Oryctolagus cuniculus: one gene and its partners. The protein of the gene in region 2 interacts with the protein of the main gene of each other region in a biochemical or structural test. Links are inferred from orthologs where the notes say so. Each region holds a gene or a part of one and is shown on either strand. Other genes may lie near its edges. The genes, in order: MBP, MAPK3 and DUSP1.

Region 1 (3,741 bases), on a different chromosome or scaffold from region 2:
GCTCAGCGACACGCGATGGCCCTCAGGTGCGGGCATCAAGGGAGCTGGGCTCAGTGAGGAAGAGAGCCACCCAGCGTGAGCAGAGCGCGCCCTTGAAGTGACGAAGCTACAGAAGAGGAGGAAGAGACGGTGGTTTCCAGAGTTCAGGGCGGGGCAGTGCAGGGCGCTGACTCCATCAAGGGACCCAGCAGGCGTCCTGGGAGGAAGCCGCCCTGCAGACTGGCTGTCACACGGCTCGCCGTGGGTGACAGTGACACAGCAAGGAGGACACTCACACACACACTGCTGACATCTGCACGAGGAGAAGGGCCTGCATCAACGCTGGCCTCCTGCCTGCCAGCCGGAACCGAGTTTTCCAAGATGGTGGCACTCGGGGAACTAGTGGAGTGGCACGTGGCATCTCCGGGGTTCGTTACACGTGCCTGTGCATCTACAATGATCACAAACTGGCGAGCACGCGTCCTGCTCTGGCCCTGCCCGAGGCTCCCGCGAGGACGGACGTGCCTGGAGCGAACCCCGTGGGTCCCAGGGGGCCGCTGTGTCCGGCTGGGTGGACGGCCCCTGCCGTGGGGATTCCTATGGACACACTGAGAGTCACCCCGCTTCCTCGCTGCTTAGCCGAGTCAGGATTTAAAACTGGCGCAGGAGGAGAGCGTGGACGTGTTCTAACTGCCGCTCCGGTTTTCCGCCCCTGGTTATCAGCGCTGAGGTCCTCCGTGGGTCTCGTCCGTCCACCTGGCCTTCACCGTCCACGCAGTGCAGCTTGTGCAGGCCCAGATTTCACTCCACAGCAGTGTGCTTACGGTCACCGACGGTTACAGCACTTCGTGTCTTCCAGATGCGAACATCACACAGCTCTGCTTATTCTCAGTTTGCAGTCTCCTGCTTATCATAATAGCGTCTCACAGCCCCTCACCGAGTCCAGGATAAATTAACACTCAGAACTACGGTTATGTATTTGAGGGGCAGAGACCACACACACACACACACACACACACACGCAGCGGCTGGGCAGACACAGGGAGAGAGCGCCTATGCACTGGCTCACTCCTCAAATGCCCACAACAGACAGGGGCCCAGGCTGCAGGGCCAGGAATGCAATCTGGGTTTCAACCCGTAACTGGCAGGGCCCCGATCACCCGGCCATGATGGCTGCCTCCCGGGGTGTACACCAGCACACACCTGGAGTCAGGGCCGGGCCAGGAAAGAACCGACCGTGGGACTCGGGCACCTTCACCACTGGGTACACGCCTGCTCCCACAGCCACATTTTAATGACCACGCAGTCCCAGTGGTTCCAAACACACACGCAGTTACGCGGGTTGCCATTTGCGGGAGACCCTGCCTGCGCTGTCCTGCCCTGAGGCCTGCAGTGCGCAAGCTCATTCCTCGCAGCCGGTCAGGAACGCGCCTGTCCCTCTGGTCAGCTCGTCTGGGTGAGGCCTGCCTGCGGCAGGAGCGTGCCCCACCGCTCAGAGGCCAACAAGCAGCGAGCTCTCTGCCGGGGCTTCCTTTAGGGGGGCTGAACGGAACACCCCGAGTGTCCAATCGCACACAGACGATTCACTTAACACCACGCGGGAGCCATCCAAATACTCTGTTCTCTCTCTAGACAACCCAGGAGGCCAAGGAGAGGATGGCCCACGCAGACAGCGGGCAGTCACAGCAAGGAAGCCCAACTCAGAGGGGAGCAGGAACCTCGTGAGAGGCCTGGTTTCCGGTCTTCAGCGCTCCCTGACACCTGCACCGTGTCACTGACCACAGGGGGAACACCCAGGCAAAGCCAGCAGGCGGCCTGAGGCAGACAGGGACTTTAAAAACACCCTGCACCCAGGGCTGCCCGGCCAGCGGATAACAAGTGGTCCAAACCGAGCAGGGAAGTCCTGGGGGTCAGTGTCCCCCCTGCCCCTGTGGCCTAGGCCCCGCCTGGGAGGGCAGAGATGCCAGCTCAGCTGCCTCCCGACCTGGGGACCCTCCCTGGGCCGGGGGCACCCAGGCTCCAAGAAACGCAGGTGGCAAAAGGCGAGCCTTCGACTCTAATGAGCTCTGTTCCCCAGGCACCCGGAGCACCTGCGCTCCCGGCACCGCCAGGCCCAGCGCGGGCGGCCCCACCGGCGGCACAACCAGGGCCCCAAAGACGCCGCCTCCCGCCAGCGCCTTACCAGGGGCCCCAGCGTAGCTCCCGGCTCCCCCAACCCCCAGCTTCCCCAACAGGGCGCCGAAGCGGGTCCACCCGGGGCCCCCAAAGCCGAGGCGCGAGGGGGCGGCCGGGGCAGGCAGGTGGGCCGCGTGAAGGCGTAAGCCGGACCGGCCTCCCGGCGCCGCCCTCGGGGCTCAGAGGGAAACTGCACCTGCCCTGGGGGAGGGGCGCGAGGAAGGCCCGCGAGCCAGCCTGGACCCCCGGACCCCCGGCCACCAGCCCGCCGCCGCGCTCACCTCGCACCCCGGGCCTCCTCCCCACCTCCACCCGCACCCGGTTCTGCCACGCCGGGGCCACCAGGCCGGCCGAGGTCCACGCTTGGAAACCCGTCGGGTGGCAGCGCTCGCCGCCGTAGACGGGCGTCTACACCCGCACGCAGTGGCCACGGGGCTGGGGACCCGAAGTCGGGTCCCACAGGCCGCCCGGCCATGCCACCTGCTCGGCCCCCTGCGCGCTCCCGGGCCGGCGGGGGGCCCGTTCCGGGGTCGCGCTCCCGCGAGGGTCACCCACCTGCCGTGCGCTCGCGCTCCGGGGCCGAGGGCCGCCCTGGGGCCCCAGGCCGTTCTCCCCGCTCGACTCCGGCGGCTGCGGGCGCGGGCGGCGCGGGGTCCCGGGGCCGAGGACGCGGGCGGCCGGGCCGCAGGCTCGTGCTCGCTGGCGGCGGCGGCTCCGAGGCGCGGGCGCGCACCCCGCGTCCCCGCCCCGCCCGCGCGCCCCGCGGGCTTCCTGCGCGCCAGGTAAACAGCGGCTGCCGCGCCGCCGGGCCCGCCCCGCGCGCCCGGAACTCGCCGCGCTCGCCCGCGGGGCCCGAGCCCGACCCGCGCGGCGCGCGCCCCGCCTGCCCCAGGCGCGGGGCAGGACTCGGCGGGCTGGTGCGGGCTCCCGCACGGGAAGCGCAGGTGCGGGCCGGGGCCACGGCACCCAGCGCGCGCTCCCCCTCGTGACCCGCAGGCGGCCGCCCCGTGGACGTTGCTCACCGGGACACCCGGGCGCGGTGCGGCCCCGCGGGGTTTCCCCGGGTCCCGAGCTCGCTCCCAGGGGACAGGAACCAGGCCGAGCGTCCTTGCTGGACTGAATGCGCGGGCAGTGGCATCCGCCCCCACGAGGAGGAGGCGGGGACCCGCGCAGTGCTACGTGGACCGCGCCCGGGGTCCCCTCTGGTTCCTGGGCCAGCAGCCAGCGCTGGGACAGGGGACTCCCAGCCCACCGCTCTGAGGCGGGTCCTAGACGGTGGCCCAGCGCCAATGTCCGAAGAGTAGCCTTCCCATGACAACTCCAAGACCACCCCTCACTTCCCCCCAGGGTGAGACCCCTCTCCCCAGTGTGAGACCCCTCCCACCTCACACAAGGTGAAGCCCCTCCCACACCACAGTGTGAGACCCCTCACTCCAGTGTGAGACCCTGCCCACCTCACAGTGAGACCCCTCCCACCCCACAGGGTGAGACCCCTCCCACCTCACAGGGCGAGACCCCTCCCACCTCACAGGGCGAGACCCCTCCCACCCCACAGGGTGAGACCCCTCCCACCCCACAGTGTGAGAC
Region 2 (3,529 bases):
TCCCCCTGCCCCCTGCCCCCTGCCTGGGGGAGGGGCGGGGTCTCGGGCCGTTCCCAGCTACATCGTGCAGGACCTCATGGAGACAGACCTGTACAAGTTGCTCAAAAGCCAGCAACTAAGCAACGACCACATCTGCTACTTCCTCTACCAGATCCTGCGGGGTCTCAAGTACATCCACTCGGCCAACGTGCTCCACCGGGACCTGAAGCCCTCCAACCTGCTCATCAACACCACCTGCGACCTTAAGGTCCGCGGCTGGCCGCGGCGAAGCTGTGGGAGGAGTGGGAGTGCTCGGGCCTGCAGGGGCCCCGAGCCCTGCGTTCAGCAGCCTGGGTTTCATTGCAGATCTGTGATTTCGGCCTGGCCCGCATTGCAGACCCTGAACATGACCACACCGGCTTCCTGACGGAGTACGTGGCCACGCGCTGGTACCGGGCCCCAGAGATCATGCTCAACTCCAAGGTAGGCAAGCCTGGCAGCCCGGAAGGGAAAGCCTCAGGCCCCCAGGGCGGCCCTGGAGCCACCCTCCCTGAGCGAGGCTCTGGAAGTCCACCCTCTGCAACGTGGCCTCTGGAAGGAAGCTGAGCACCGGCTCTCCAGGCCTCTGCCCCGGATCTCGGTTGGAAGCGGTGGCTTGGCCCAGGCCGCAGGGCCCTGCCGAGGCTGGCTCGGGAGTGCAGCACTGTTTTCCTGTCATCCCCAGGGCTATACTAAGTCCATCGACATCTGGTCTGTGGGCTGCATCCTGGCCGAGATGCTCTCCAACCGGCCCATCTTCCCTGGCAAGCACTACCTGGACCAGCTCAACCACATTCTAGGTGAGGGGGCCTGACCCACCCGGGGGAGGCTCAGGCTCAGGCTCAGGGTCAGGGTCAGAGTCAGAGTCAGGGGTACCACCACTTGTGGAACTTCTCCAGCATCTCCCAGCATCTCCGTGAGCAGAGACAACTATCCCCATTTGGTGGATGGGAAAAGCAAGGCCGAGAGCCGTCACACCTAAAGAAGTGCTAGGGCCAGGATTTGAACCCAGGCTGCCTGGGTCCAGACCCCTTGTCCTTCTCACTGTGAGGCAGGTGGCTGGGCTGGGGGTGCTTGTCTGGGCTTCTTTGCCTCTGTATCCCAGGACGGAGGAGGAAGGCGAGGTCTCACCAAGTCGCCTGCCTTCCTTCTGCCCAGGCATCCTGGGCTCGCCGTCCCAGGAGGACCTGAACTGCATCATCAACATGAAGGCCCGGAACTACCTGCAGTCCCTGCCTGCCAAGACCAAGGTGGCCTGGGCCAAGCTGTTTCCCAAGTCAGACTCCAAAGGTGAGTGAGACGCCACGCCCAGGGAGGATAAACCTTGAGTGGGGACGGGGGCTCACGATCCGGGCACCTGCCTGTGTGGACGGGGCCCTGGGTGCCGAAAAGCAAAGGGAGCCTCCCCTTCCGGGAGCCCCTCCCCCCTCCGCCTTCTCCGTGAGCCCTGACTCCCGCCCTCTGCCAGCCCTGGACCTGCTGGATCGGATGTTGACCTTCAACCCCAACAAGCGCATCACTGTGGAGGAGGCCCTGGCTCACCCCTACCTGGAACAGTACTATGACCCGACGGACGAGGTGCCGTGGCGGCGGCGGCAGCGGTGGTGGGGTGGTGGTGGGGGGCCGTCTGGGGGTGTGGGCGTCTCCGGGGCCTGGGGGCGTGGGCGTTTCCGGGGCCTGGCCCGAGAGCCCTCCTGTCTCTGCCTGTGTAGCCGGTGGCCGAGGAGCCCTTCACCTTCGACATGGAGTTGGATGATCTACCCAAGGAGCGGCTGAAGGAGCTCATCTTCCAGGAGACGGCCCGCTTCCAGCCGGGGGCTCCGGAGGGGCCCTAGCCTGCGCGGCAGCCCTGTCCCCGGGGCCTGGTGAGTGGCCCTCTCACCCCACACCGACTGCGAGCCAGCCCTGGCGTCCCTGATCCACCTGTACGGTGGTGACAAAAGGTGCCCAGACTCATGACCCACCCAGGCCCTTAAGTCCCCACCTGTCTACACTGCACCCACAGCGGCCCCTGGGGCCCCGTCCCCGCTGTGGGCAGCTGACCCACACTTCTGCTCGCCCACATGGACAGGTGGGGCCCCGCAGCAGGTGGCCCAAGCCAGGTGCCTCCTCACCACTCAGGGCAGCCGTTCCCACACCCGGGGGCCTCGGCGGGCCCACCCAGACCCACGCCGACCCACGCCGCAGAGCTGCCATTGTGCAAGCCGCCTCGCCCATGCACTTCCACTTCCTGGAGGCTGCTGTGCTCTCCAAGCCAGGGCCGATCCAGCCCTCCACGCCCTCCGCGGGTTCATTCACCTGTAGCTTCACCCTGGGAGAGGACCCTGTCCTCACTCCGCTGGTGGAGGGGCCAGGGAGACCCGACGTGGGCTGGGGGGCCGTGAGGCCCCGTGGGGTCTCACAGCTCCTCCCCCGTCTGCCTTTTCCCTTAGGGCCTGCCTGCTGCCTGCCCCTCTACGCTCGGACTGTTAGAAAACGGACACTGTGCCCGGCTGGGGCGGAGTGTGGGCCTGGCCCCATCTCGCTCCTGCTTCAGACAGGCCAAGAGCCCCCTCCCCCCTGCTCCTGCCAGGGCCTGAGGGCCTCGGGCGACCCCACAGTAGATCTCCCCCCAGCTCTGCCTCCATCTACCCTGGCTATCCCAGGCTGGTCCTTCTGGACCTCCGGAGGGGCGGGGCGGGGCGGGGACACTGAGCAGGGACTCAGGGCAAACCCTGCCCCCTCCCCCTTACCCCCCCCATCTCCCTGGGGGAACATTCCTGAGTCTCAAGGGCTAGTATCCCTGAGGAGAGGGCCCCCCACCCCGGCCTCAGCCCCTCCCCCCAAAGCTGCCACATTAACGTCCTCGCTGCTTCTGTGTGTGGGTGAGCGGGAGTGGGGGCGCCCCCGCCCGCCCCCGTGCCTGTATCTAATATATAAATATAGAGATGTGTATATGATGACCGTGACCGTGTTTCTGTTCGCCCCTGCCTTGGCCCAGCCAGGGCTGCTTGGGACCGACCCCCCTCCAGCCCAGCAGACTCCTGGCCCAGCCCTGGTGACCTTTGGCCCCAGGCTGGCCAGGGTTGAAAACTGGGGGGGGGGGGGGCAGTGTTCCAGACTGCTGGAAAGGGGAGAGTGTCAGTTTTCCCTTTAGTCACCAACCTCTTCCCTGTAATGACTTCCTGTGGAACTGGCTGGGGGTGACTCAGGGGTACGCTATACACCCCCAGCTTCTCTGGAAATGGCCAGGGAGCGAGCGTGTTATACACCTTGGCCACAAGCACCCATGGAGCCTGCGGGGAGGGGGCGTTACTCCTCCCAGGCAGCCCAGGACAGAGGGGTGTCGGGGTCCAGGGAGCGTCTGGATGTGTTCAGAGTCAGGGCTGCTGCCTGGCTGCCTCCTGTCTGTCCCCCAGCCCCAGCTGAGCCCTGCAGCCTGGCCCAGGGCCAGCAGCAGGCTCAGCAAGTCCCAGGGGCGTGGCGCGGGGCTCAGCCAGCCTACGCTGGTTCGCTGGTTCACCTCGGCAGG
Region 3 (3,741 bases), on a different chromosome or scaffold from region 2:
GAGGAGCCCAGTGGAAGCCAGGTGACGTTACATAAATAAGGCCCGGTGTGCGCTCGTGAGCCCCCTCCCGGGAGTCATTGCCTTTCTCCACCAAGGAGGAAGCCTGGAGTCCCGGGCGCGCGTGGAGGTGGAGGTGGCGCTCCTAGCCCCGCCCCGGCCTCTCAGCAGCTGGGGGAGGTGGTGATGGGGCTCTGAAGGTAGCTCAGGGCACTGTTCGTGGGGTGTACGGGAATGGAGACGGGGAAGTTGAAGACAGTGGTGGTGGCGGTGCCGCGGTCCAGCACAGCCATGGCGGGGCTGCTGGCCTCCGCCGAGCAGTGCGGGGCCAGCACCTGCGATTCAAACTGCAGCAGCTGGCCCATGAAGCTGAAGTTGGGGGAGATGATGCTCCGTCTCTGCTTCACGAACTCAAAGGCCTCGTCCAGCTTCACGCGGTTAGTCCTCATGAGGTAAGCGAGGCAGATGGTGGCGGACCGGGAGATGCCCGCCTGGCAGTGGACGAACACCCTTCCTCCGGCATTTCTGATGGAGTCTGGAAAACAAGAAGTGCGGCTGCTTACTAGAGAGCTCGGGAGAGGGACCCCAAGTCCAGGCAAAAAGCGTCAAAGAACAATGTCACACGTGTCCTACCCAGGCGGCCAACATCACCTTACGCTAGCCCATGGACTTATGCTATCATGGAGGGCACCGTGCAAAGGGGCAGCAAGGGACTAAACCCAGATGGGGTGTCTCCACTTAGCAGGTTGATTCTGGGCAAGTCCACTTGCCAAGCCTCGGTTTGCTCATGCGCAGGGTGGGACATCAAGTCCTCATTCTGCAAGGATGATGTCCACCCGAGATGGACAGTTCATGTCTGGTGGATGGCTCACAAGAGCAGCACCCAAGTCCTCTGCCAGACAGGTTGAAACGGGGAGGCATCAGCAGTGCCGGGCGTCCGTCCCACTCACCTATGAAGTCGATGGCCTCGCTGAACCAGGAGCTGATGTCTGCCTTGTGGTTGTCCTCCACAGGGATGCTCTTGTACTGATAGTGACCCTCAAAGTGGTTGGGACAGTTGGCTGAGACGTTGATCAAGGCCGTGATGCCCAGGGCATCCAGCATGTCCTTGCGGGAAGCGTGATAGGCACTGCCCAGGTATAGGAAGGGCAAGATCTCCACCGGGCCACCCTGTGAGGCAGAAAGACCCAAACACTGCTCAGGCCGGCTCCAGGGCACCACCAGCACCCACACCCACAAAAACTCCCCAGTGGAAAAGTCAGTGGTGAACTTCTCAGTACCCCTGCTGCTGCTGCTGGAGTATAAACAAACAGGGGTCTAAGCCCATGTGCCCCTGGCAGCACCAGCCAGTTCATTTCTGTAGTGCCATGCATCAGACACGCAGAGCCATTGAGTGTCCCCAAGTCCCCTTTATAAATAAAGCTGCAGGTCACTTTCCACGTTCTCACGGGCACCCTCTTCCAAGCCTTGCTGGCCCCGACTCCTCCCCTCTGGCACGGGGCCCCACTGACCTGATCGTAGAGCGGGGTGCTGCAGGAGCTGCATCCGGATTCCGCGCTGTCCGGGATACTGGTGGTCAGGGGAAGGCTGAGCCCCATGGGGGTCGACTGTTTGCTGCACAGTTCTGGGCAGGACGCCGAAAACGCCTCATAACCTCCTGGCAACAGAGAGAGGAAGGTTTGCTTCCATCAGCATCGTTGAGCCAAGGTCCCTTCCCACAAAGCCCCCACCCCACCAGGCGCTCCAAGTTCATATCGCTAAGGCCCAAGCAAGTCTTTGTTCCCAGGACCAGACAAAGCCGGTGTGACAAGTCCCCAGAGCCACAACGCCGCGCCCATGCGCTCCAGGTAGGACTCGGGCGCCGGTCCCCGCCCCCACTAGAGAGCCAAGGGCCAAGGGGCCCCCGGCAAGGCAGCGCTGCCCCGAGGTCGTACCTTTGAGGAAGAAGACGTGCGCGGCGCGCGCCTCCCGGCACAGCGCGCCCGCCGCCAGGGCCAGGGTGCCGTCGCGCTTGGCGCCGTCCAGGGCGACACTGCGCTCGTCCAGCAGCACCACGGCGTGGTAGGCGCCGGCCAGCAGGCGGCCGCGCAGCTCGGCGTTGGGCACGATGTGCTCCAGCCCCATGGCGCCCTTGGCCCGGCGCCGCACGATGGTGCTGAAGCGCACGTTGACCGAGCCGGCGATGTGGCCAGCGTTGAAAGCGAAGAAGGAGCGGCAATCCAGCACCAGGCACTGCGCCGCGCGCTCCCGCAGCAGCGTCCGCAGGCCTCCGGCGTCCAGGATGCCCACCTCCATGACCATGGCCGGCCTCAGAGCCCCCAGCGTGCACGTCGCTCCGGAGTCCTTTGTCTGTCCCCGGACGCCAAGAGCAGAGCGGCGACGGCTTTCGAGGAAAAGTCCGACCCCGACTCTCTGGGCGCGGAACAAGACACTGCCTTTGGGCCGAGCGAAGGGCGTCACACGGGACTGCAGCCACCCGGGCTTTCTCCAGCCGCTCCCGGGACCGTCCCTGCTCCGGCGACCGCAGCGCCTCTCCTACAATCCAGTCGTCCTTCTCGACGAGCTCGGCCCCGGGGAGTGCAGTTATATGGGCCTCTCCGGGGGCGGGGCGGGGCGGGGCTGGCGCGCGCTGGGAGGGGGAAGGGGGGTTTGTTTGTTTGAATGGCGGCCACGTGACCGGGTGGTGACGTCACCCACCCGGCCCGGCCCGGCGCCACCAGAGCCAGAGGCAAAGACGTCATCGGCCTCGGAGCGGGGTGCGCTCCCCGCGAGCTGGCTCGCGCCCCAGCCCCGGCCTGCTCCTGGCTCGTCCCCAGAGACCCAGCCGGCTCGGCTCGGCTCGGCTGTACGCGCCCCGCGGGAGGACAGGGGCGCGCTGCCAGCCGAAGGCTGACCTCCGCCACCTGCCTCGGCCTCTCGGCGCTCGGCGCCGCCGCTGGGTCCTCTCGGCCGCTCGCCTCGTGTCCTCGCTAACGGGCCGGGCTGCCGGGGTCCCGACGGCCAGCGTGGAGGGTGGGGGGCGGCGGAGAGGAGCTCACGATGTGGACCGGGGAGGGCGGGCGGAGAATGAACAACTCTGTCCCTGGAAATGGCGTCCCCACCAGGAGAGAGGCCGGAGTGAGAAAGAAAGAAAAACTTTGTATACGTTGAGCAAGAACAATGGCGTCCAGTGAGCCACCCCACCCCCCATCTCCGCCGCGGGACAAATAGCTCCTCTAGTCATGTAGTCCCTACGAGGTTGGAGCAGAGGAAGGCAGAGCGCGGGGCGGCAAGCCCGGGGCGGGGGGCGCGCGGGTCGGCGCCTGGGGACGGGCCGGGCGGCTCCACTGGGGTCGCTGGTGCGCGCGCGCGCGTGTTACCTTGGCTCGAGGCCGAGGCCCCTGGGCCCCGGCTTTGCGCACCCCAGCCCCATTGCGCGCCCTCGTAGCGTCTGCCCAGCGCTCCCCAGCTCACAACCCAGCCACGCGCGGGGAGAGCGGCTGCAAGACGCGCGCCCCGAGCCCTGCTGACCACCCCCTGGGCAGGAGAGCCGCCTTCGCGGCGACAGCGGCATGTCGGGTCCACAAACAAACCTTGCGCCACCGGCCGAGTGCAGAATCGGGAACATTCTGCGGTTTCCCCTCTGCTCTCCTGGGGGGAGGGGTGTTCGCTGCCAGCCTGCGTCGTCCCTCTGTGGGTTCTAACACCAGAGACAGCTTCTCCCTTTGCCTAGCGTAGCTTGTGCCAAGTGCCATGCAGAGACTT

Evidence for each region.
Region 1: of the proteins of MAPK3 (region 2) and MBP, one has a biochemical effect on the other in vitro, tested with the Homo sapiens proteins (5 studies listed by BioGRID). The link is inferred for Oryctolagus cuniculus from reciprocal best matches to the Homo sapiens genes MAPK3 and MBP.
Region 3: of the proteins of MAPK3 (region 2) and DUSP1, one has a biochemical effect on the other in vitro, tested with the Homo sapiens proteins (2 studies listed by BioGRID and IntAct). The link is inferred for Oryctolagus cuniculus from reciprocal best matches to the Homo sapiens genes MAPK3 and DUSP1.

The regions. Positions count from the first base shown.
Region 1 is NC_091441.1:2,201,684-2,205,424, reverse strand, and holds the start of MBP (myelin basic protein), read right to left. Parts: upstream 2,817-3,741; 5' UTR 2,710-2,816; intron 1-2,709. UniProt on the Homo sapiens protein: The classic group of MBP isoforms (isoform 4-isoform 14) are with PLP the most abundant protein components of the myelin membrane in the CNS. They have a role in both its formation and stabilization.
Region 2 is NC_091450.1:7,469,064-7,472,592, reverse strand, and holds the end of MAPK3 (mitogen-activated protein kinase 3), read left to right. Parts: intron 1-57; coding exon 58-247; intron 248-345; coding exon 346-462; intron 463-703; coding exon 704-818; intron 819-1,176; coding exon 1,177-1,308; intron 1,309-1,486; coding exon 1,487-1,596; intron 1,597-1,730; coding exon 1,731-1,853; 3' UTR 1,854-1,883; intron 1,884-2,450; 3' UTR 2,451-2,957; downstream 2,958-3,529. Other genes in the region: lysophospholipase D GDPD3, read left to right, coding at 3,366-3,529.
Region 3 is NC_091437.1:59,322,176-59,325,916, forward strand, and holds the start of DUSP1 (dual specificity protein phosphatase 1), read right to left. Parts: upstream 2,575-3,741; 5' UTR 2,299-2,574; coding exon 1,932-2,298; intron 1,655-1,931; coding exon 1,509-1,654; intron 1,168-1,508; coding exon 948-1,167; intron 533-947; coding exon 162-532; 3' UTR 1-161. UniProt on the Homo sapiens protein: Dual specificity phosphatase that dephosphorylates MAP kinase MAPK1/ERK2 on both 'Thr-183' and 'Tyr-185', regulating its activity during the meiotic cell cycle.